Linked DNA regions of Canis lupus familiaris. The protein of the gene in region 6 interacts with the protein of the main gene of each other region in a pairwise test. Links are inferred from orthologs where the notes say so. Each region holds a gene or a part of one and is shown on either strand. Other genes may lie near its edges. The genes, in order: TXNDC17, TFAP4, DUSP23, MORN4, SLAIN1 and EXOSC8.

Region 1 (4,053 bases), on a different chromosome or scaffold from region 6:
CAGGAAGCCCGGCCCGGGATGCCCCTTTCGAGCGGGCCCTCCACCGGCACCGGGTGGAGCTGCACCCTGCTGCCCGCCCCGCACCCCGAGGCCGCCCGCACGGCCTGCACCTTTAGCCACAGTTCCAGGATGCTCTCGTGGCCCGCGGAGCCCGGCCGCCCCTTCCTCTCGCAGCCCCGGGGGCTCGGGCCCGCCGCCCCCTCCCTCTCCGCCTCCCGCCCGGCCCCGGTCACCCACACCGACCCCACCGGCCCCACCACCTGGGGCTCCCCAACCGCGCCGTCCACCCACACGACCCCCGGGGCCCTCGCTACGGGGGCTGCGGCGCCAGGGCTCCCCGCCGCCTCCGGCCCCCCGGCCCCCGCCGCCCCCGCCGCGGCCCCCGTCCCCGGCGGCTGCCCGAAGCCGGGGGGCCCGTCCGCGCTCACGCAGCGCGCCTCCCACGCGGCGCCCCGGGCTCGACGGCCCGCTCCCCGGCCTCGCGGCGTCCCCGCGGGGCACCGCCTCCCCCACGGCTGCCCGCGCCCCCGCCCCGGCCGGCTGGGCCCCACGCAGCGGCCGGCCGCCCCGCTCATGGCCGCAGGCCCGCGCGCTCCCCCACCGCCTTCCCGGCCGCACGCGCGCACGCAGCCCGCCGCCGCCGCCCCGACCCCGCCCCGGGGACCCCCACACGCCGCAGGAGCGCGGTGCTCGGGCGGCTCGGCGTCCCCAGCGCCGGGGCGCGGCTCCCGGCGCGACCTCCCGGAACCCCCCAGTCCCGGCCCGAGCCCACCTGCCTGCGGCGCGGCGGCTACCGGGAGGCCGCCTGGGAGCCGGCTAGGCCGAGCTTCCGGCCGCTCGCCCGGTCGCCATAGCAACGGGCGCGGGGCGGCCTGGGAGCCGTTAGGGCTCTCGAGCCAGCCAGGGGTCCCCGGGCGGCGTGGCGGCGGGCCGGGCAGCCACCGCTCATGGGGCCGGGGCCGGGGCCGGGGCGGCTGGGGCAGAGACTCGGCTATCAGCGGAGGGCCGGCGCCGGGGGCGCGGAGAGACGGGCGCACAGGGGCAACACCGACGCCGTATGGCCGCCTGAGGTCTCCGTAGCGCCGCGGACCGCCCCTGCCGTCGGCCCCGCCCCTGCTGCCGGCCCCCCCGCCCCTGCTGCCGGCCCCGCCGCTGCTGCCGGCCCCCCCGCCCCTGCCGTCGGCCCCGCCCCCGCCGGCCCCCCCGCCCCTGCTGTCGGCCCCCCCGCCCCTGCTGCCAGCCCCGCCCCTGCTGCCGACCCCGCCGGAAGCAGCCGCGCCCCGCCCGGCAGGCTGTCCCGCCCGGAGCCCCAGCCTCTCGGGGTCCCGGCCAGCCCAGCGCGGCGCGCTGTCCAGATGGCGGGCTGCGAGGAGGTGAGCGTGTCGGGCTTCGAGGAGTTCAGCCGGGCGGTGGAGCAGCACCACGGCAAGACCATCTTCGCCTACTTCACCGGCTCCAAAGACGCCGGGGGCAGGAGCTGGTGCCCCGACTGCGTGCAGGGTGAGGCGGGGGGCGGGGGCGCCCGTGGCTAGTCCTCCTGCTCCCCCCGCTCCAGCCCGTCCAGCACCCCGGCCCCTAGCCCTGCTCCCCACACCCCCGCGCCTTCCCGCTCCACCCCAACACCCCGTCCAGCACCCCGGCCCCTAGCCCTGCTGTGCCCCCCAACCCCCCGGCTTCAGCCCATCCAGCTCCTCGGGTCCCTAGCCCTGCTGGTCGCCCCCCCCCCCCCCCCCCCCCCCCCCCCCGGCACTCCATGCCTGTGAATCAGCCATCCTGCCTCTCCAGGGCGCTCAGGACGCTCGAGGCTCGGGTACCGCTGCTCTCAGGGCAGGTGCAAGCCTGCCTACTCACCCAGATGTCATTTCTCTGTGCGACCTTCCACAGCTCATATGTAATTATTTATACCTTTTTTGTTTTTCAAGCTGAGCCTGTCGTGCGAGAGGGGCTGAAGCATATTAGTGAAGGATGTGTGTTCATTTACTGCCAAGTGGGAGAGAGACCTTAGTAAGTGTGTGTGCCTTCCCTTTACTTCCCAGACATGGCTCTGGACCTTTGCAGACTTAGGCGGGAGGGGCCTCGGGACTCAGGTTCTCCGTCCTCAGGAGTGGGGAAAAGTCGTGCCATTAGAAGTGAATCTACAAATTTTGAGCATTTAGCTGCTTATGTTACAGGTGATGTCAATGAATTTGGCTTAGTATTAGTTCAGAACTTAGCAGTCTACGTTTATTTTTTTTTTAATTTTTTTTTTAATTTTTATTTATTTATGATAGTCACAGAGAGAGAGAGAGGCGCAGAGACACAGGCAGAGGGAGAAGCAGGCTCCATGCACAGGGAGCCCGATGTGGGATTCGATCCCGGGTCTCCAGGATCGCGCCCTGGGCCAAAGGCAGGTGCCAAACCGCTGCGCCACCCAGGGATCCCCTACGTTTATTTTAGTTCATAGTCACGCTTTAAAAGACGTGAGGACACCTGGGTGGCTCAGCAGTTGAGCGTCTGCCTTCTGCTGGGGTCGTGATCCTTGGGCTCCTGCGAGGAGCCCGCTTCTCCCTCTGCCTGTCTCTGCCTCTCTGTTTCTCATGAATAAATCTTTAAAAAAAGGAAAAAAAAAAACTGCATAGTCCCAAAGTCATAACCCTCAAGGTTTGATGTTTACAACAAAAACAGTGATTACTAAAAGACTAAATGTGGGAATATATCAAATATTAAGTAACCTACAAGAAACCATGATCACTTTTTCTTTTCAAAACAGTTGGAAAGATCCAAATAATGACTTCAGAAAAAACCTGAAAGTAACAGCAGTGCCTACACTACTTAAATATGGAACAGTAAGTGTCTTTGTTTTCATCATGCTGGGGCTACAATTCACATCAGAACTCTTTGTTCTGGATTCAAATTTGAAAAGATCTTGGCGTTTCATCCCAAATATCACATTGGTGTTCAGAGTGCATTAAAAATACACAGACTGGCTGTCCATCCCTGGGGCTAATTCCAATAGACTATTAATAATGCAAATATCTAAACGTTAGATCTTCATGCTTTGTAAAAGGCACTCCATTTTAAAATTCTCTAAGTGCCACTCACTGCTCAGAATGGTGGTTAACACCTCATTTCTTACACTAGCACAGTACTTGTTTCCCATTTCACCCAGAATCCTCATTGAAAGTTTAGCCATGGCCCTGGCATTCTAAATTAAAGAGCTGAGGGGAGGGAATGGCACTGGGCTTGCTGTCTCTTGTCTTAGTATGCAGAGCCAAGTAACTTAACTATTTCATAAGACTTGTTACAACTAGTTGATAGTTTTTGAAAGGCGATTAAGTTCTCTGCTGTGAGATTTGTGTCACTCCAGGTGGAACACCACATTCCCTGCCACATTCCCTCCCAGTTTTGTAGCTGTCAGGTAAGATTAGACTGTTCTTCTCTTACAGCCTCAAAAACTGGTGGAATCTGAGTGTCTTCAGGCCAATCTCGTGGAGATGTTGTTCTCTGAAGATTAAGATTTGATGATAGCAATTGTGTCTTGATTTCCTGATTTGCTCTAGTATAAAGGCAATTGCACACTTGCTTTGAATTTATGTTAGCAATAAATAAATGATGTAAAAAAGTGATTTATGTCTAAAAAGTGCCATTAAGGGACGTCTGGGTGGCTCAGTTGGTTGAGCGTCTGCCTTCAGCTCAGGTCATGATCTCAGGGTCCTGGAAGCTCCACATCGGGCTCCCTGCTCAGCCTGGAGTCTGCTTCTCCCTCTGCCCTTCCCCCTGCTTGTGTTCTCTCTGTCAAATAAAATCTTTTTTAAGTGTTATTAAAATGCTCATAAACTCTCAATTTGCTTGTAATATATGGGAATCTTTAAGATGTAGGTAAGTCAAGTCTTCAAGGGTGACAGTAATAGCACAAGGGAATGGATTATGGAGGTGACAGAAATGTCTAAAAGTCTCTACCAGTACAGAAAACAAATTCCAAATCTCAAAAGGAGTTAGCATCTTTTACCATAAATGCTACAAATTTATAAAGAACTGTTACTCCTAAAGCATCTTCTTTGGCTCTAGAAAGTA
Region 2 (3,972 bases), on a different chromosome or scaffold from region 6:
CATTCCGAGGCAGGCGTGGTCTTCCTGAGCCAGGGGCCAACCCGACAGAAGCCAGGGGAGGGGACTCGGGAGGGGGTACGGAAGCGGGCCGCCGCAGCGTCCTTGCCCCCCCGCCCCGGGCATCACCGTAGTAGAGAGCGCACCCTGGCGGAGGAGCAGGTCCCGCACGGCCTTAGGCATGAATGGGAAGCTTCGGGCCTCCTCTGCTGTCCAGCCTCCCCGCGGAGGGGGTAGTGGGAGGGTGGCTAGTGAGGGGGACCCGGCGGCAGCCACCAAATCTGCGGGCCGCTGCCGTCCTGGCCCGCCTCCAGCCTTCACTCCCCGCCGGGGCCCCCCGTTTCTAAAGGCAGCCCCAGGATCTGAGGCGCCCGGCGCGCCCCCTTCGCTCTGCACCCCCCCCTCCCCGCCCCCCGGCTCCGAAATTCCCAGGCTCCGGAGCCCAGGCTGGGCGGCCAACTGGGCAGCCAGGGAGGGAGGGGGCTGGCTGGCCTCCGAAGTCGGCCCCAAGTTACATGTGGGAAGAGGTGGCTGTGACGCAAGTTTCCAGGGGGCCCTGGGCTCGGAGGGAGCGCGCCAGAGCGGCTCCTCTCCATGCAGCTGCAACCCGAGCAGCACCCCAGGCCGCCTTCGCCGTCTCCGCGGGGCCCAGCTGCGCGCCCGCCGTCCCCGGGGGCCGCCGAGCGCGGAGACCCTGCACCGGGCAGTCCCCGCCGGACCCCGGACTCGCGGGCTAGGCTCCCTCGCAGTGGCTGGCCTTTTTTTTTTTTTTTTTTTTTTTTTGCAACGCTTGCCAACCTGTCAGCTGATGGACCTCATCACCCATAGTGGCGCATGTAGCTCGGCCGCAGCTCGCTCCATTCACACCGCGCCCCCCAGCCGCCCCACGGCCCCCGGCTCCCAGTGCCGGGGGGTTGGCCCGCAGACCCTGGCTGCCACTGGCCCCCGGGGGCCGGCGCCCCTCTCGCCCTGGCCTCGCGCAGCCCCGGGGGCGCTGCAAATAGTCCTTTGTTTACATGCAATTCCTTACTCCGCGGAAGGAGGCCGGGGGAGTGCTGAGTTTTCACCAGCTGTTTCCCGCCTTGAAACAGACATCTGATCAGCTGCAAACACACACACACATACACACGCCCGGGGAGGCAGGCCGGAGAGACCTCCCTCCCGCCCCTCCCGCCCGCCTCCCTCCCCTCGCCGCCGCCGCCGCCAGCATCTGGGACCGGCCGTTTCTGCACCTCCGTCCGGCGCTGCCCTTTGATTCGGATTTCCATCTTGCATTCTCCGGCGGACCGCGGGACCCGGCTCGTGCAGAGGAGGGGGGCCGATCGCTATGGAGTATTTCATGGTGCCCACTCAGAAGGTGCCCTCTTTGCAACATTTCAGGAAAACAGAGAAAGAAGTGATAGGAGGGCTCTGTAGGTGTGTACTCCTCCTCCCCCCCACCCCCTTCCCATGATTGCAGCCCCCGGCCAGCCCGCCCGGGCAGGCGCGCGTGTGCGCACGCATGGCCCGCGCTGCCAACCCCGCTCGCCTTTCTTAGCCGCCGGGGCGGCTACAGCCCCGCGCGCCGGGGTTGCGCCGCCGGGGGACCCTCCTCCCCCGGAACGTGGGGGCCCCGAGCGGCCCCGGTCACTTTTGTCCGCTGCAGGCGGGCGAGTCGCGACGTTTGTAAATTGCAAACAGACCCACGTGGTTCTGCAGCAGTCCCGGCCATGCTTGGTGCTGGTGGCTTTCCCCCCCGCGCTTCCTCCTCCCCCCTCCCGCGGCGGCTTCCTTCCTCTCCCTCCTTCTTCGCTGTCTCTGGGTACCCCCCTCCGTGGCGGTTTGGGGGGCCCGGGCCGCGCGTGGGGCCGTGGCGCGGGCGGCTACAATGCAGCCACGCCGCGGCTCTGGGCGCGAGGGGGGGATCCGGGAGCCGGGTAGTGTGTTTGTAGGGTGCGGGGCTGCGGCGGGGCCGGGGGGCGTGCTCGAGTGGGGGCGCGGGGATGGGTGGGACCCGGGAGGCCGGCGCTGCCGGCCGGGGGCGCCGCGGACCCGGGCACGTTGGCGGCCGCTCGCTCGCTTGCCGCCCGCGCCCGGGCGCTGTTTACTAGCGAGGCCTGGACGTGACTCTGCAGCCCTCTTGGAGTAGGCGGACCTCGGCGCGCCGCCTCGCGGGAGCTGTAGTTCCCCGCGCCCCGCCCTGCGGCATTGTGGGAGTTGTAGGCGTGCCCGGGCCACGCTTTCCTCGCACAAAGCTCAGCTCCCGAGGGCCGGGTGCGCCAGGCGGGCCCGCGGGGGGGTGCCTTTTGGGGAGGGGGCACCGGACAGTGCCCCTGGCCTCGTGAGGCCGTTGCCCGCCGCCCGCGGGGCTCGGCTGCAAACTTTCCCAGCCCACGCCCCTCCCCCAGCCCTAAACCGAAAGCGTCCAGCCCCACCGTGGGTGGGTGACCCCGGGGCCGCCGCCTTCCCCAGGAGCCACTTCCCAAGCGTGGCCTCGGTCGCTCCAGATCCATCCTTCACCAGAGGGTGACGGGTGCGCGCACCACTCACATCCCCATTCCCCTGGACCCTTGTTAAAATGCACGTGCCCGCCACTCGGATGGCCAGGAGGAGGACGGCCCTGTCCCTGAGCGTCTGCACCGAACTCGGCCCGCGGGACACGGCGGTGCTGCGTCTGGGGCTTCCCTGGGTGCCCCACTTGGGAACCTGCAGACCCCTTAGAACCCCGCGGCTCCTGGAGCGAAATGGCTCCCTAGGACTGGGGCCACGTGCTCAGCCGCCAGGGTCAGGCTGGGCGGGGATTGAGGGAGGAGGAGCCGGGGCGGCGTGGCCCGCGCTGCTGGACAGCAGGGGCTGCAGAAACCGGGTTCGGGGACGGGACGGTGGCTGCTCCTGTACACACACCTCCCCACCCCGCCCCAGGCTCCCACCTCGACGGTTCTAAAGTTCGGAGTCATGTGCAGCCAGGGGGGTGGCCACCCTGGGTGCTGGCCCTTCCTTAAGGTCTACCAGAAGGGCCTCCCTGTAATAAGAAAAAAAATTCTGGAGCTCTTAGTATGTTCTAGGGACTCGTTTTGATAGATTTTTTTTTTTCTCACTGAATTTTTACACTCTGCGTCCTGAGTTAAGCGGCCTTATACACATACACTGTATGGGGTGAGGACATGGGCTTGAGAAGGGAAGAGTTAGTTACAGCAAGTGTTGGGGCTGGGACTTGAACCCTGGTCCCAGAGCCCTGCTCCTATCCCTCGTGGCTGGTTGGTTGTTCAGAGAATGGCTGGGTAGGACTGTTTGAGCCTGATCCTGGGTAGGCTTAGCACAGTGGGGACCTCTAGCCACCAGGTCTGAGACTTAGTTGAATCCTCTCTTGACCTCCCAGGACTAGGAGTTATACTGTCCCTGTCCCAAACCCTGCTTTAGAGGAGTCTAGCAGTCTCCAGGGGTCAAGTGCCCCAGGCTTGGGCATGGGGACATGCTCAGCCTGCCTATCTATGAGACAGTTGAAGCCTGTGCAGTGGGTGTGGAGTTGGGACCTCTGGGTTTGTTCATTTTCAGAAGCTGTGGGGTGAGGTGGGATCAAGTGTGTGGGTTGGGTGAGAACTTCTGGCTTTATGGATTGGTTTCTGAGGCTGGGATCTTGTTCTATCCCTCAGTGACTAGGAGCACTCTCTGCCTCATCCCTCTCCCAGACCTACTGGAGGGGGCCATACTGCACAGTGGGCACCCCCACCCTGAGTCACCCTCAGAGCAAGGCTCATGCCCCAGCTGTGTGGTTTTGGACCTGTGTGGTCTCAGCATGTGCCACTTCAGTAAAATGGAGCACCTGTGAAGGTTAGGCTGTGTGTATGGAAAGTGCCAGTATCTGTTAAATTCTTAGAAGCAGGAGCACTGTGATCTTAAAGTGTTTACCTCCTGCCCTTGGGGGGAAAGAGACCAGTGCTCAGAAGGAGTTAGGGAACAATTAGGGGCTTTGGAGTGTGTGTGCTGGGTCCCTGA
Region 3 (4,004 bases), on a different chromosome or scaffold from region 6:
TAGGTGCCCTGGGCCCGGCCTGCCCAGCCACATCCCAGCTGCATGTCCTCGGCCGCGTTAACCCACCTGGGTTAGCCTCCGATCACACGTGTACAAAGGGGACCCAAACACACCGTCCACGTGTTGCTCTTCCAGAAAGCACTAGGCGCAGGGCCCGGGACAGCAGCAGATTCAACGAGGGCTAACAGCTCCCATCATTATGATCGGCCTGCGTCACCAGAAGCGCATTGTTCAGATGAGGACACGGATGGGTCAGGCCACAGCCAGCTCGCCCCATGGGAGCTGGGTCTCCACCATCGGGAGCAACGCCGGTGACCTCTGGCCGCCCCACGGGAGGGTGACACAGCCAGCCTGGAAGTCCCGAAACACTAAGAGAAATTCAGAAACCCCGCAGTTGTGGAACCCCGATGCTATTTGGGAGCGTGAGGATGGTCACGGAGGAGGGAACCAATACTGGGCTGCAAAGAGGCCGGGGCCAGGCCGCCTGCTTCCAAACCCGCAGGCCCGGAGCCACCTCGGCCAGGTTCCTGCAGCTGCGGAGCCTCAGTTTCCCCATCTGGAGACCATGGTTCATGAGGGCACCCGCTTGGTGAGATTGCTGCGGCTGGGTCGGCGATGTTAAAGGAGTTAACGCGGGTAAAGTGCTGTGGCAAGTGCCCAGTAAACGTGGCTTCTTCCGTCCGCAGGCGGCAGCCCCGGGCTGGGGGGTCCCCGCAGCGCAAACGCGGGACAGGCCTCCGCACGGCGCCGCTCGCCCGCACCGCCCCGGGTCGCCAAGCCCCTGGGACGCAGCGGCCATCCCGGCGGAGGAGGCCCGCGCGGACCCGGGGCGCCCGGGGCCCAGTCGGAGCGCGGAGGTCACGCCCGGGGTCGGCACGCGCGGGGACCCCGCTGCGCTGACCGCCACCGGCCGCCAGGGAGCAGCAGAGCCCGCCCCCGGGCGGCCCCGCCCACCCCCGGCGCCGCCGCCTGAGCTGCACCAATCCCCGCGCGCACCGCCGCCGTAAGCCCGCCCAGCCCCGGCCGCCCGGCCAATCAGCGCGCGGGCTGCCCCGGCCCCCGGCCTGCCCGCGGCGCCCGGCCCGTCACTCAGGGCCCGCTCGGCGCTGCGGCCCCGCCCCCAGGCGGCTCGGCCAATCCCCGCGCGGGGCGGGGGCGGGGCGGGGCGGGGCGGGCCCACGTGGTCCGGGCGGGGGCGGGCGGGGCGGGGCGCGGGGGGCGCTTCCGCGGCGATGGGCGCGCAGCCCCCCAACTTCTCGTGGGTGCTCCCGGGCCGGCTGGCGGGGCTGGCGCTGCCGCGGCTCCCCGCGCACTACCGCTTCCTGCGGGAGCAGGGCGTGCGGCACCTGGTGTCCCTGACGGAGCGCGGGCCCCCGCACAGCGACAGCTGCCCCGGCCTCACGCTGCACCGGCTGCGCATCCCCGACTTCTGCCCGCCCGCCCCCGAGCAGATCGACCGCTTCGTGCGCATCGTGGACGAGGCCAGCGCGCGCGGGGAGGTCCGCGGAAAGGGCGGGGGGCGGGGCACAGGCGGGGGCAGCGGGGGCAGCGGGGGCAGGAGGGGGCAGCGGAGGGCAGGGCGGGGGCTGGAGGGCGGGGCCTGCAGGGGTCAGCCGGGAGGCAGGGCGGGGACAGGAGGGGCAGGAGGGCGGGGGGCGGGGCAGGAGGGGGCAGGAGGGCGGGGACAGCGGGGCACAGGGCGGGGACAGCGGGGGACAGGGAGGGAGCAGGAGGGCGGGGGGCGGGGGCAGGAGGGGGCAGCGGGGGACAGGGAGGGAGCAGGAGGGCGGGGGGCGGGGGCAGGAGGGGGCAGCGGGGGACAGGGAGGGAGCAGGAGGGCGGGGGGCGGGGGCAGGAGGGGGCAGCGGAGGGCTGGGCGGGGGCAGGAGGGCGGGGGGCGGGGGCAGGAGGGGGCAGCGGGGGACGGGGAGGGAGCAGGAGGGCGGGGGGCGGGGGCAGGAGGGGGCAGCGGGGGACAGGGAGGGAGCAGGAGGGCGGGGGGCGGGGGCAGGAGGGGGCAGCGGAGGGCTGGGCGGGGGCAGGAGGGCGGGGCCTGCAGGGGTCAGCCGGGAGGCAGGGCGGGGACAGGAGGGGCAGGAGGGCGGGGGGCGGGGCAGGAGGGGCAGGAGGGCGGGGACAGCGGGGCACAGGGCGGGGGCAGCGGGGGACAGGGAGGGAGCAGGAGGGCGGGGGGCGGGGGCAGGAGGGGGCAGCGGAGGGCAGGGCGGGGGCAGGAGGGCGGGGCCTGCAGGGGTCAGCCGGGAGGCAGGGCGGGGACAGGAGGGGCAGGAGGGCGGGGGGCGGGGCAGGAGGGGCAGGAGGGCGGGGACAGCGGGGCACAGGGCGGGGGCAGCGGGGGACAGGGAGGGAGCAGGAGGGCGGGGGGCGGGGGCAGGAGGGGGCAGCGGAGGGCAGGGCGGGGGCAGGAGGGCGGGGCGGGACAGGAGGGGCAGGAGGGCGGGGACAGCGGGGCACAGGGCGGGGGCAGCGGGGGACAGGGCGGGGGCAGGAGGGGGCAGGAGCGCGGGACCTCGCGGGGCTCCGGGAGAGGGGGGAGGGCCCCCGCAGGCGCAGGGCAGTGGGGAACAGGGGGTGACCGCAGGGGGGAGAGGGCGGGGGGCGGGGCAGGAGGGCGGGACCTCGCGGGGCTCCAGGAGCGGAGGCGGGGCCCCCCCTGCCGAGACTAGACCGTGAAGCCCGGGGCCGGGGTCAGCGGGGGCAGGAGGGCGGGACCTCGCTGCGGGGCGGGGCGGGGCGGGGCGGGGCGGGGTTACGGGAGGTGGAGCCAGGGCAGCGGGAGGGCCCCGGGCCGCAGGGAGTGTGGCGAGAGGAGAGGGAGAAGCCGGCGCACGGGGAGACGCAGGTGGGAGGCGGCACCGCTGCGGGGTCTCGGGGCCACCCGCCTCCCACACACCCCGACTGGAGCCACCGTGTGACAGAGAAGGGTCAGGGAATCTCGTTTTGATGATACAGCGAAACCCAGTAAGTCAAAGTGTTAGGGTTTCTCCGTATGATCAACGCAAATGCTAAATGGCGGTAGGTCGTGCCTTGCACCCCGTGCAGAACCCGGTGGTTGCACCTCGGGGCGCAGGTTGGACTAGCGGCCTCTCCCACGCGCGGTGGCTTCTGCACTGGGAGGCGCAGGGACAGGGCTGCGGGGGGCCGGGAGCCCAGCACTGGAACCAGCTACGGGGGAGGTGATTGGTGGCCTCCACGCCGCCAGGTAGGGGACAGCTGTCCCTGACCTTGACATCCCCTCTCGCCCCCGAGATCCTTGCAACACCTGAGGGGCCCCAGCCCGACCCAGAAGAGGCAGGTGTAGAAAGGAGGCTCGCGCAGGGGAGGAGCGGGAGAGCCCCAGGGAGGGCATCAGACTCGGCCCCATCAAGCCCCCTCTTCCCAGGCGGTGGGAGTGCACTGTGCCCTGGGCTTTGGCCGCACGGGCACCATGCTGGCCTGCTACCTGGTGAAGGAGCGGGGCCTGGCTGCCGGGGACGCCATCGCCGAGATCCGACGCCTTCGACCTGGCTCCATCGAGACCTACGAGCAGGAGAAAGCCGTCTTCCAGTTCTACCAGCGGACCAAGTAAGGGGCGCGGCGCCCTCCCCTGAGCCTCGTGTCTGCTGGGGCCGGCGACGCAGACAGACGCTGACCCTGCAGGCAGGCCCCGACCCCCGACCAAAGGCGAGCTGTGGCCGTGCTGGGGGAGGTGGGGGGGGTGTCAGGGTTGCGGTGTGCACAGCTTTCCCCACGCCAGCCCCGTGAGCTGGGGACTGTCCTTCAGATGAGGTGGCTCAGGCTCTCGACCACACTTCTAGAAAGTGGTGGGATGGGCCAGGTCTTCAGCCCTTAAAGAGGCTAAGACCGTTCTCTGACAATCCCTGGCCTGTCTCCTGGGGAGCTGGTCAACGGAAAGGACACAGCCCCCCAGCAGCCCAGGATCTCCGATGGTCCCCGACCGGAGGGCCACAGGGGACACCCCCAGCCGAGGCCCGCCTGCCCCT
Region 4 (3,500 bases), on a different chromosome or scaffold from region 6:
AGAGTAATTTGTGCTCATTTTCACAGTCTCCTGAATGATCACATCTGCCTTGCAAGCTTTTCTGGCTGCGGGCTCTTGCCGCTCCAAAGCATCCTGTTTCCTGCTGACCCATTCGTTTTTCCGCAAGCACCCCTTTCAGATTACTTGCCTGTTCAAAAATCCCCAGAGCCTTCGTCTTTCCCCCACCTTATTAGCTGTAAATTCTTCTGCCTAGCTTTCCAAGATCCCCTTAGAGTGGCCTGATCCTAAAAGCAGAGTGTGCAACACGAGAGAGAAAGAATGAGCAGCAGGCAGGGGAGGCCAGGACCCGAGTTCCAGCCCAGCCACTGACTGGCTTTTCACTTCCTTCTCTCCGTCTTTGAAATGATGGAGTTTGGATTTAACTCTGAGAGGCTGGGACACTGGGTGGCTCAGTGGTTGAATGTCTGCCTTTGGCTCTGGACATGATCCCAGATTCCTAGGATCTAGTCCCACATTGGGTTCTTTGCATGGAGCCTACTTCTCCCTCTGCCTGTGTCTCTGCCTCTCTTTCTGTGTCTCATGAATGAATAAATAAAATCTTTAAATCAATCAATCAATCTGAGAGGCTTTTTTTTTCAGATTTCAGAGTTTGGCTGAGTACCTAGATAGACTTATTTCCCATTACTCCTTAAATAAACCTTCAAGTGCAATAAGACCCAACTTAATATTTTCCCACCGACCATCCAGGTTATGTTGCTGTTTGTGCTTCCATTCCTCAGGTTTTCTCCATGGGCAGCCGCCCTTTGCTTTCTTGACTGCTTGCTTTCAGTTGTGCCCATCCCTTGTGGGTTTGTTTTTGTTTTTGTTTTTTTAATTTTTATTTATTATTTATTTGAGAGAGAGCGAACACACAAGCAGGGGGAGGGACATACAGAGAGGGAGAAGCAGACTCCCCACTGAGCAGGGAGCCCAATGCAGGACTTGATCCCAGGACTCTGGGATCATGACCTGAGCCAAAGGCAGACATTTAACTGACTGAGTCACCCAGGCTCCCCAACCATCCCTTGTCTTTGTACATCTCTACCATCCAGTTTGGCACTTAATTATATTACCTCTCCTATTGTTCAGTATGTCAGCTACTAGTCTTACCAACTAGACTGTAAACTCATTGAAGGAAGAGACCATATTTTATACATCAACTAAATACAGAGTACGTATCAAGCAAATATTTGTAAATTCATCTTCAATTTCTATCTCAGGTCATAGAAAATTGGAATTGGCTGACAACTTTTTTTTTTTTTTTTTTAGATTTTATTTATTTATTTGAGAGAGAGTGTGAGTCAGGGGAAAGGGCAGAGGGAGAGGGTGAAAGAGAATCCCAAGCAGACCACATTGAGTACAAAGCCCAGTGCAGGGCTCGATCCCAAAACCCTGAGATCACTACCTGAGCTGAAACCAAGAGTCGGAAGCTTAACCAACTGAGTCACTCAGGTGCCCCAGGCTGATAACTTTTAAGTTGGAGGATAAGACTGCTTGAGCCAAGGTGATCTGGGGGTGGGGAGGTTGGAGAGGTGGGCATGTTTGTTAAATGTATCCAGGGTAATATATATACTCACTGGGCTAGTTTATAGAATGTTTCTGCAAAATTGCTTTGCAAGCCTTTCCTCCAACCATCCCGTGACTCTGGTTCTCTCCTCTGTTTCCTGCAGTTTTTATCCTTTTCTTCCTTCCATAGCTGTCACCATGACCCTGACAAAAGGTTCCTTCACCTACTCCAGTGGGGAGGAATATCGTGGAGAGTGGAAGGAAGGTAAGAGAATCCCTGGGGGATCAAGTGAGGAACACTTCATTTGGCTGAAGGACAAATGCATCAGGCTAGATAAGCCAACTGCATGAGTCTTCATGTCTAACTCCAGGATTTAACCTGAATAGTGCCTTGCCTTTCTTTGGTTTTAGGATTAAATAAAGGAATTAGAAAACCTCATTGTTTGCCCAGTAAGTTAAGGAAGACCTGGAAATTAGGACAGATACTCAAGGGCAAATGACAGTCATTTCCTTGAATTTTCTGTGACAGCTCCTTGCATTTGGAAGTGTCTATTCACAGGCTTAGTGAAATTCCACAGAGCCTGAGAAACACAGTCTGACCATTTAAGAGCCTCATGGGGCCAGTCCTGGCAAGCCAGGAACTGCCCCGAGGAGCCGTGACTTCCAACAGTTGTGCCAGGGAAGAGTTCAGGCCGTTTCAACATGCACCCCATTCTTTTCACGTTAGATACCTGTAGCTGATGAATTCTTGAGCCCTGAGAGGCGAAACTGGACAGACGGGATGTAACCTTGCCTCCCCAACACCTGCCGTCCCCTCAGATCTGGCCAGTTAGAGGCGCCAGTCTGCTAGGCAGTCTCTATCCCTTAGAGGAACTCCCTTGTACTCTCCTGGAAAGACATGATTGCTCCTCCAGCATCGTGCCATTTTTCTGGTCAGTTCAGTGGATAACAAAGCCTGAATCATTGCCATCAGTCGACTGTTCAGTTTGTCCCCTAGCTTCACGGTGCCATGTGGCACTTTTTTTCTCTCAGAGAGGCAACATATAAGTCAGTGTTGAGAGTTCTCCGGTCCAGATGCCCACTGCATTTGCATTCTTACTCTGCCACTTAACAGCTCTGTGGTCTTAAGGAAGTGATTTAGCTTCTCCTAGCCTTACTTTCTGCATCCGTGAAATGGGAATAATAATAGTACTGTGCCTATCTCTTCATGTCGTGAGGATTAGATAGGATGATAAATACAAAGTGAGAAGGGTGCCTGACACGGAGTAAAGGCACTATGGTAGCTAGTGTTATTTTTTTTTTTAAGATTCTATTTATTTATTCATAGACAGTGAGAGAGGCAGAGACACAGGCAGAGGGAGAAGCAGGAATCATACAGAGAGCCTGATGTGGGACTCGATCCAGGGTCTCCAGATCACGCCCTGGGCTGCAGGCGGCGCTAAACCGCTGCGCCACCGGGGCTGCCCGCTAGTGTTATTTTTAAGTGCTCTCTTGTTCATACGTAGTGAGACCTGCTCCAAATCTGATGCTTGTGACAAGATGGGAAGGTCCTGGAAGCCGGATTTTCCTGGTGCCTGTTCTGGGTAGTAGTTCTCTGCCCTGCTAACATCACTGCTTCTCTCCTTTTGTTTGTGCATGGGGTGACAAAAGACAAGGGAGATTGGGCAAGGAGGGTGTTCCTGAAGCTGCCTCTGAACCCTGACAACTGTCTTTTTCTTTGCCTAGGCCGCAGACATGGTTTTGGTCAACTGATGTTTGCAGATGGTGGCACCTACCTGGGTCATTTTGAGAATGGGCTCTTTAATGGCTTCGGGGTACTGACCTTCTCAGATGGCTCAAGGTAAGTATTGGGTCATTCTTTTTTCAGCTTTGATAGTGATAGCTGGTCAGACCTGAGCTTGGCCCAGGCCCTCTGAAAACAGGCGAGAAGTAAGCAGTTCTTTTATTAGTTACTTTATAAATAGATCTAAAATTTGAAATGGCAAGGAGCCGAA
Region 5 (3,940 bases), on a different chromosome or scaffold from region 6:
TGGAGCCTGCTTCTCCCTCTGCCTATGTCTCTGCCTCTCTCTCTCTCTCTCTCTCTCTCTGTGACTATCATAAATAAATTTAAAAAATTAAAACAAACAAACAAACAAATGAAAAAGATAGGCCATAAAACAATGTGCCACTTGTCTGTAGAAACATCTATAAAGCGTCAAGGCATTGATTTATGTACTCCCCTAAATAGCTGATGAGTGAAATTAGTAGAACCTGCTATACTTTACATTCACTTCAAACCATCTGAAGTGCTAACAAAGTAATCCCACAGAGCAGGTCATTTTTTTTCCCCAAAGTTATTTCAATACTATTTTGACAAAAAACAAACTACAAAAAAAAAAGCCTACATATCAAAATTCTAGCAGTAGTTGGACAATAGGGAGAAGTCCATTCAATGGAAGAAAATACTATTATATTAGCTATGTATATACTACCCCATTTGAATACACTTCCAAAATTATAAGCATATCATAATACGTTTAAAAATGCTAACACTTTTAACGTACAGGATTGATGCCCATCAAAAACACAAACAAGTTTCCTTCTACCATTTAAGTACATATTTCCAGAAAAGGCCAAGTGGGAACTAAATCAATGTAACGTAATTTGAAAGCAACATATGGGCTTAGAGTTATTATAACCTAAGAACGACCAACATGAGAGCATTTTCTAGTGCCATGTTCAGGCTGAAACTGAGTTTACAATACAGCCTGGGCTTCACAGAAAAACAAAGGTGTAATATCTAAAGTACGGCTTATAAAGCTCCCAAAAGTGGGGAGTTGTTTTGGTTTTTACAACTTGAGCTACCAGCACAGCTGCCTGCCAACAGGGAGAGTACTGAGGAGGAGGAGATGCTCCAGATACGTTTGGATTCTGCAGTTCAAACCAATTAATGTACTTTGCAGTCAGGAGCTCTAAGTATATAGGAACACCACAGGTCTCAACAGAAAACCAGTAAGAGTCTCCATTTCCCATTCCTCCGTGTGAGATCATGCAACAGGACCACAGAGAAAGTGAGGGAAATCCAGCCTCCAGGAGCAGGAAGAACCCGAGATAAAAGAAGGGCTCCAACTCTTCTTCCTGCCACAGCTACTTAAAGGTGAATGCTGTGCATTTTCCCTGCGGGAATCAAAGTTCCACTTTCTGAGGCTTCTACTCATCTTCCCCTGTCCCACTACCCCTAGGAGATGGAGGAAAGCAAATGAAGCAACCAAAAGAAGTAGGTCACGAAAGGAACTCACTCCATGAGAACGTAGCGTAAAAACACTAAGGTAACCGGACCCTCCCCTTCAAAGTCACTCATTGATGGAGAGAAGAGCTAACCAGATTTCCAGTGAAATGCTGCTGCCAGCCACAGGTTTTTAGATAACTTAGTTTCTAAAAAAATAATGATTATAATTATAATAAAGTTTCTCTAATCTCCCTTTTCTTCAATCAACAGTTCGATTTAAAAAAAAAAGAATTAAAGAAAGATCCTTGGTTTCGAAGTAAAGTGTCTTCAAGCTGCCCCCATCTTTGACACCATTAGTGACAGGAAAGCCAGTGAGGGCAGCACATCTCAAAACAGCTAGTCAGGCTTTGAAATGAGAGGCGATCAAGGAAAATGCAGCGGACGAGGACGTGCGACCGCACAGCTCAAACCGCAAGAACGAATCTCCGAGGCGGCGGCTGGGGAAGCGGCGGGGGAAGCCACGGGAGGGCACCCCCCCGCCGCACAGACCCTGCCCAGGTCCGCCGGGGAGGAAAGACCAGGTTGGCCTCGCAGACGGAGGCCAACCCCTCCCCATCCCCCGTGCCTCCCCCCAGATGATGGGGCGGGCGGGAAGCTGGACCGAGTAACAAAAAGAAGGCACGGGTTCTTCGGTGACTGCTCCACGGCGCCGGGGGCCGCTGCAGCAGGGCGCGGGCCCGCGGAGACGGAGGGGACCGGCCCATCCCCGGCGGCGCCAGCCTGAGCTGCGAGAAACACGTTTCGCCCTCGGGAAAGGCCCCGGCTCCTCGCGGACCTGGGCACCTGCCAGGCCACCGCGTCCGGGGGCGACCGCGAGCCCCCCCCCCCCCCCCGCTGCCCCGGCCCACGCCCACCCCGCTCCCCGGGCCTCCGAGGCCGGGCCCCCGGGGGAGGGAGCGGAGCTCGGCAATACCAGGTGCAGTCGTCCTCGTCCCGCCAGGCGGCCACGCTCTCCAGGTCCAGCGGCTCCACCTCGTCCAGCAGCGTCGGGGGCGGCGAGGGCGGCGCGGGGGCTCCCCCCGGCGGCGTCCCCGCGCCCCCCGGCTCCGGCCCGCCGCCGCCCGCGCCGAAGAAGCCCGCCGCCGGCTTGAAGTAGACGAAGGGCGCCTCGGGGGGCTGTGCCAGGCTGCAGAGCAGGGAGGGTGCCGGGCTGGGCAGGCAGAAGGTGCCCGGGAACGCGGGGCTGGAGCCGCCGCCGCCGCCGCAGCCGCCCCCGGCGCCCAGCGCCAGCCCGAGCCCCAGGCCCCCCGAGGCGGCGGCGGCGGCGGCCGGGGGGCTCCGGGGACCCAACGGGCTGCAGGCCCCGGCGGGGGGCGGCGCGGCGGGCGGCGGCGGCGGCGGCAGCAGCAGCAGGTGCGGGGCGGCGGCCGCGCTCGCCGCCCGGCTCCGCAGCTGCTCGTTCTGCTTCTCCAGCTTGCGCACCAGCTCCTGCAGCTTCTTCACCTCCAGCTCTGCGTTCACCACCGGCCCGGAGCCCGCTCCGGAGCCGCCCCCTGTCGAGGCGCATTTCACCTGCTCCGCCATCATCGTGGGCCCCGGGGGCGCCGCGGCCGCGGGCGGTGGGGGGCGGGGGGGGGGGGGACGCGCCGCCGCGCCGCTCCTCGGGCCGCGGGGAGGCTACGGCTCCTTCCCTGCCGCCCCGGCCCGAGGCGCCGACCACGCTGGGGCAGGAGCCGAGCCGGCTGCTCGCATCAGCACCGGGGCCCAGCCTCCGGCCGAGGCAGCCGCCGCCGAACGGCTCTGCACATGCTCAGAGCGCCCTCCGGTCCCCCGGGCGGCGCGGCGGCTCCGGGTTTTAGCCGCGGCCCCGGGGCGGGGCGGGGCGGGGCGGGGCGCGAACGCCGGGTGGGCGGGGCCGGCGGGGACCTGCGGCGCGAGGAGGCGAGCCCCCTGCCGCCCTGCCCCCAGGTGCCCTGGCGGGGCCCGGCCCGCGCTTTCCCGCCCGAGGCGCTGCCGCAGCTGTGCCGAGCGCCCGCGGCGCGGTCCGCGAGCCCGGGTTCCCCGAAGCCCGCTGCAGGCGCCTGCCCTGGAGGCGCGCACCCCGCGCCCGCGCCGTGCTGCGGCCCAACCGCCGTAGCCACTGGCCCCGGGCTCACGAAGCCCGCGGAGAACCCGAGGGCCGAGGACGTTACCCCGGGGCTGAAAAGTGAAAACGTGGAGCAGAAAGACTTTGAGGCAGTGCTACTAATCCACTAATTGGCAATACAGAAGCAAAATGGTGGGGGACAGGAGGCCGGGGAGAAAGAAGACGTCCCTCTAAGACAGGCCAGCTGCTGAAGAGCCCAGTGGTGCTCAGTGTACCCTAAAGCGGAGGAACTCAAATGATTCCTTTACCACCAGTGCCGGTCGTGATAAAGCAAGAGCATTTTCCGTACCGCGTATCACACAAAAGGCCTTGGAGCACTTCACTGCTCCAGACCCGATTCTAAGAGTTGACCATCACGCAGTGAACAGGACAAGCAAAAATCATTACAGGCGAAACATGAGTAAAATTGCATAGTGCTCCATCTCTTTAATAATTTACAAGCTATTAGGTCAGACTGACTTACGGGGGTGGAAGGGAACCGAGGAAAACAAAACCTCTATCCCAGTATCCCTGACCTCACCTGCAAGCTGCGCTTCTTACATCTTTTGGAAACTACTGGCAAATCTGCTCTGGGGGGCAGGGGGAGGCTTTTAGGTAGAAGAATTGAATCCAG
Region 6 (4,230 bases):
GGAGAGTGGTGGGACAGGAGGAGAGGGCAAACACCGACTCTTGCTCCCCCCTTGACTGCCTACCCACACCGAATCTGTGGAGTAGCCAGGTGCTTGTGGTGCTGAGCACTTATGAGAGAGGATACAAATATGTATGAGAAAAAAAAGCCCATGAGGTTAGAATGTGCAATTCTAATCTGGCCACACTATTTCTAACTTATGATATTGGATGAGTTAGAGTTTTAGCCTGTTTTCTCATTTAAAAACCCCCGCCAGACCAAAAAAAAAAAAAAAAAAAAAAAAAAACGGACCAGCCACAAAGCTCATTTTGTTTCCTTAAACTCTCCAAGAAGATTCCAGCAGCAGCTGATGATACAAAACAAGGACACATACTATTTTTCTTCTATTTATGCAGGGAAAGTAGAGAAAATAAATGAGCGGAACTCCTCTGAATAATAAAGAAAAACAATTTCACTCTAAGTCTTTTTCAAATAAATGTTTTAAAAAGTCACTAAAGTAAAAACAGCATCGTGTTGCCACACAGTCTGCAGACATACTTAATTTTAAATATATCATCAGGCAAGAGCATACAAAGTGGTTGGGAGGGTACATAAGAAATTTCTGCTTTCCGTTTGTTCTGGGTTCACCCACCTGCGTGCGTCTGGAGGTAGCGTGTCATGTGCTGGGCTTGCATGCTAACCCGTGATGGAAGGGGACAAGCTGAGCACAGGAGGCCCTGGTGACCTCGACGGCTTGGGCATGGCTGGCACTGCCTCTCTCAACAGATCTAGCCTGGGATCTCTAAATTGGTGATTTAGTCTAGTTTTAACTAGGGACATCATATTGAAAGAGAAATATGGTACCTGTCTCTTTTCCAGATAGCCCAAAGCTTCATCCATCATTACAGGCACTTAAAGAAAAAAAAATACATCTCTGAAAAATTGTTTTCGAAAATGATTTGCCAAGCCCCCACTCAGTTTACATATGGAAAAAGTCTGAATAGTCTAACAGAGCCCTCTCGGACCTCTTCCAGTGGCCCTTCCCAACTAGAAGGCCTGTTTTCTGTCCACAACTAGCTTAATGTCTCTCTAGAACACTTCAGTCCTATGACTTCATGATGCTGACCGTATTCTTTATAGCTGGCATTTGTTTCCACTCTCATGAACTACAACTACCAACTATGCACTCATCAGAGCCCACATCTACTAATGTTCTCACAAAGATAGTAAAGTTCATACTTTAAATTTCCTTTTCTTCCCAATGGCCCCATATCCCAAAAATGAAATTGGGCTTACACCGTTTTTCTTCATTGTATGAAGGCACAACAACGGAGAGCTGTTTGGTAGGCGAGTCCCATACGCTGGGCAAAGTTTCCTTCTGTCCTTTGGCATTTAAGAAGAACTTCTCCTCTTCATGTTGATGGAGATGTGGCATTTTTGTAGCAGTTATAAATGCAACAAAGGAAATCTAAAAGTAGGTATGTTAACAAGAAACTATATTATGTAAGATTACATCATTTATGTGATTTTTATTGTTGTTGTTAAATGTTCACTCTCAGTTTTTAGTCCATTAAGAATGGTCTGGAGGTGACACCAAATTCAAATCCCTTACTTATGAACTAATAATTGTCCTTCTTCCATTGGTAGGAACTAATGCCTTAGGAGCTGTGTCTTCCCACCTGTCATCCCTAGGCCTCTGTCATCCCAGATTTAATAGGGAATAGTCACCAGAGAAGTGCAATCCATTTTAAGATGCCCTGAATCTCCAACCCCTGGCTAATGATGACAACATTCATTTAGCATTGTTTTAAAGATCGCACAACATAAAACATTGAATACAATACCCCCAAATTATAAGTCCTCTATAAATGTTAGCTTTTTAAAAAATTATTTTATTTTCATTTATTCATGAGACAAAGAGAAAGGCAGAGAGACATAAGCAGAGGGAGAAGCTGCCTCCCTGCGGGAAGCCCAATGTGGGACTCGATCCCAGGACCCCGAGATCACGACCTGAGCCCAAGACAGATGCTCAACTGCTGAACCACCCAGGTGCCCTAAATAGTAGCTCTTATAATCACAAGCTGGTAGGATCAAATACTTCCAGTTCATCCTCAAAATGCACCCATTTAATTCTATAAAACAGATAGATCAAATAAACAGAGTCAATTTAGGATTCTGTCAAAACTCTGCCCCCACCAAAAACCTGAGAAAACCTTGAAATCTCCATCTACCCCTAACGGAGAGAGAGGACTCCTTTCTGACCCCGACACAAATCACCGAAGAAGTCAGGACACGTTGCTTTTTCTCTATAAGTTATTTCTAAACTGTGAAGTGTGCAAACCCGGCAAGGCGGAAGAACGGCCTTCCCAGCAGTGCTGTCAGGGGGGCTAATCTGGGTGTCAAGGAAGCTGGAACCTCTCCACGTACTAACTGGATGGCAGGCTCGTTCCAAATTATAAGGGAGAAAGCTCACTTGGCAAACCATTACTAATGAATCAGCAAGTGCTTACAATGTTTGTTTCCAGAGTGATGGCAAAGAAAATCCGAGTCTCAATTCTACTGTGCCCTCCTTTAGAGGCAGCGAATTTAGGGTGTTTAATCCCGGGTCATAGGGACTGCCAGACAACGGTAACAGCAGGCCTGCGTGCCTCGGCCTTACTGTGTCCCTCCTGGGTCTTCTTGATCCACTGATTCACCCCAATCTCTAGCAGATGGCTCTCGTCAAAGCTGTCACCACCTTCTAGTTGCTTCCCCGCATCAGGAGGGTCAGTCCAGGGAGCGCAAACCTCCTGGGGGGGCTCGAGACCTTCCCGGGTGCAGCCGGAACTGCACAGGCTGCAGATGCAGGAGGAAGGGGTGGAGAGGTCGGGACTGACAGGGCAGAGGTCGGGGGCGGCGGGGCCGGTGGAGGCTGACGGGGGCGCACGTCCCCCGGGGAACCAACGTTACAAGGGCCTGGCCGCAGAGGGAGGTAACGCTCCAAAATAAAGACAAAGAAGGGAAGAAAGGGGCTGTGAAGTTCTAGGAGAGGAAATCCTGGTCAAGTTTCGGGGGAGAGCGTGGGGGGAAAGGGACGCGTCGAAGCGTGCGGGGCAGAGGACAGGCTGCGTGGCGGCCGAGTCTCTGAGAGGACGGAGCCCAGGCCCGCGTCGGTCCCCAGCCCTCTGCTCACCAGCGTCAGGGCGGCGGCCGCCAGCGCCACGCCGAGCACAGCCAGCTGCAGCAGGAGCGCAATCATCGTCCATACCCGGCTGCCGCGCGCCCTCCCCAGCGCCTACACACACGCGGAAGCGCCGCCGCGCAGCTCCGCCTCCCGCCGGCAGAGCGGCCGAGCCCGCCCGCCGCCCGCCGCCCACAGCGCCCCTCGCGGCCAGGCGGCGCACACGCCGTCCCTGGCGGCCAGGCTCGCGCGCAGAGGCGGGCGCCGGGTTCCCCGCAGGGCTGACAGAACCCGCAGGCACACACAGGATTCCACCCAGTCGGAATTTCAGGTAGGCAGTGAGCGGCTTTTCGACAGCCGTCTTAAGACAGCACTCACGCACCGTGCAATCCACCCATTAAAAAGGTTTTATTGTATTCCATGAGTCTTTAAAAACGGAGACAGCATAAAATTTGCCATTTTAACCATTTTAAGGGTACGATACGGTGGTATTGGTTACATTCACAATTTCCTGCACCCATTATCTATTTCTAAAACATTCTTCGCTCCCAGCCGCCCCCGCCCCCCGCCCCGTAACAACTAATAACATGTACTATTTGGGGTATACTCATAGTGGGGAAAAATTAGCTTGTGTATCTGACATTAAAAATTAATTGGATGTTCTGTATTCCGTCTGGCAAACCTACCTAGGAGGGAGGTGACGGCTTTGAGAACAAACGCAGCCCACGGCACAAGCTGCTCCTCAGGAGCCCCTCCGGGGGCCCGCAGAGTGTACCGCGGGGCGATCACCAGCGCGCACAGAGTTTACGTGATTGCTCAGCAACTGGAGCTCCAGGGAGCCCTTCCCTTGGGGTGAGGCACGCCCAGGGCCCAGCCTGAGACAGAGGCGGGAAAGGACGCAGGAGCTCTGGAATAATGCCCCACACTTAATACTCACTCAATTCCTGGCAATAAGGTCGGCTTTCCCTTAAACTCCTGAGCTAGCATACCGTTTTTCTAAAGAGACACACCCGTCTCTTTCCCAATAGCAGATTCGACAAAACGCGTCCGAGGCCAAGAAGCCTAGAGGCGCGCTGGGCTCCTCCGAGCGGA

What was found.
Region 1: the proteins of EXOSC8 (region 6) and TXNDC17 interact in binary tests that used the Homo sapiens proteins (3 or more experiments, as listed by UniProt). The two-hybrid records come from large-scale screens. The link is inferred for Canis lupus familiaris from reciprocal best matches to the Homo sapiens genes EXOSC8 and TXNDC17.
Region 2: the proteins of EXOSC8 (region 6) and TFAP4 interact in binary tests that used the Homo sapiens proteins (3 or more experiments, as listed by UniProt). The two-hybrid records come from large-scale screens. The link is inferred for Canis lupus familiaris from reciprocal best matches to the Homo sapiens genes EXOSC8 and TFAP4.
Region 3: the proteins of EXOSC8 (region 6) and DUSP23 interact in binary tests that used the Homo sapiens proteins (3 or more experiments, as listed by UniProt). The two-hybrid records come from large-scale screens. The link is inferred for Canis lupus familiaris from reciprocal best matches to the Homo sapiens genes EXOSC8 and DUSP23.
Region 4: the proteins of EXOSC8 (region 6) and MORN4 interact in binary tests that used the Homo sapiens proteins (3 or more experiments, as listed by UniProt). The two-hybrid records come from large-scale screens. The link is inferred for Canis lupus familiaris from reciprocal best matches to the Homo sapiens genes EXOSC8 and MORN4.
Region 5: the proteins of EXOSC8 (region 6) and SLAIN1 interact in binary tests that used the Homo sapiens proteins (3 or more experiments, as listed by UniProt). The link is inferred for Canis lupus familiaris from reciprocal best matches to the Homo sapiens genes EXOSC8 and SLAIN1.

Annotation. Positions count from the first base shown.
Region 1 is NC_049226.1:30,900,979-30,905,031, reverse strand, and holds TXNDC17 (thioredoxin domain-containing protein 17), read left to right. Parts: upstream 1-1,253; 5' UTR 1,254-1,355; coding exon 1,356-1,500; intron 1,501-1,922; coding exon 1,923-2,004; intron 2,005-2,749; coding exon 2,750-2,825; intron 2,826-3,425; coding exon 3,426-3,494; 3' UTR 3,495-3,605; downstream 3,606-4,053. UniProt on the Homo sapiens protein: Disulfide reductase. May participate in various redox reactions through the reversible oxidation of its active center dithiol to a disulfide and catalyze dithiol-disulfide exchange reactions. Modulates TNF-alpha signaling and NF-kappa-B activation.
Region 2 is NC_049227.1:37,390,406-37,394,377, forward strand, and holds the start of TFAP4 (transcription factor AP-4), read left to right. Parts: upstream 1-1,172; 5' UTR 1,173-1,324; coding exon 1,325-1,413; intron 1,414-3,972.
Region 3 is NC_049259.1:23,177,065-23,181,068, reverse strand, and holds the start of DUSP23 (dual specificity protein phosphatase 23), read left to right. Parts: upstream 1-1,204; 5' UTR 1,205-1,232; coding exon 1,233-1,499; intron 1,500-2,770; exon of another isoform or gene 2,771-2,964; coding exon of another isoform or gene 2,965-2,982; intron 2,983-3,403; coding exon 3,404-3,585; coding exon of another isoform or gene 3,586-3,589; intron 3,590-4,004. UniProt on the Homo sapiens protein: Protein phosphatase that mediates dephosphorylation of proteins phosphorylated on Tyr and Ser/Thr residues. In vitro, it can dephosphorylate p44-ERK1 (MAPK3) but not p54 SAPK-beta (MAPK10) in vitro. Able to enhance activation of JNK and p38 (MAPK14).
Region 4 is NC_049249.1:11,062,080-11,065,579, reverse strand, and holds part of MORN4 (MORN repeat-containing protein 4), read left to right. Parts: intron 1-1,670; exon of another isoform or gene 1,671-1,696; 5' UTR 1,697-1,704; coding exon 1,705-1,771; intron 1,772-2,950; exon of another isoform or gene 2,951-3,031; coding exon of another isoform or gene 3,032-3,089; intron 3,090-3,231; coding exon 3,232-3,346; intron 3,347-3,500. UniProt on the Homo sapiens protein: Plays a role in promoting axonal degeneration following neuronal injury by toxic insult or trauma.
Region 5 is NC_049243.1:31,288,914-31,292,853, reverse strand, and holds the start of SLAIN1 (SLAIN motif-containing protein 1), read right to left. Parts: upstream 2,801-3,940; 5' UTR 2,769-2,800; coding exon 2,155-2,768; intron 1-2,154. UniProt on the Homo sapiens protein: Microtubule plus-end tracking protein that might be involved in the regulation of cytoplasmic microtubule dynamics, microtubule organization and microtubule elongation.
Region 6 is NC_049246.1:3,769,858-3,774,087, reverse strand, and holds the start of EXOSC8 (exosome complex component RRP43), read left to right. Parts: upstream 1-1,430; coding exon 1,431-1,456; intron 1,457-2,488; exon of another isoform or gene 2,489-3,012; intron 3,013-3,150; coding exon of another isoform or gene 3,151-3,223; exon of another isoform or gene 3,224-3,291; intron 3,292-3,824; exon of another isoform or gene 3,825-4,230. Other genes in the region: ALG5 (dolichyl-phosphate beta-glucosyltransferase), read right to left, coding at 843-889, 1,275-1,446, 3,151-3,216. UniProt on the Homo sapiens protein: Non-catalytic component of the RNA exosome complex which has 3'->5' exoribonuclease activity and participates in a multitude of cellular RNA processing and degradation events.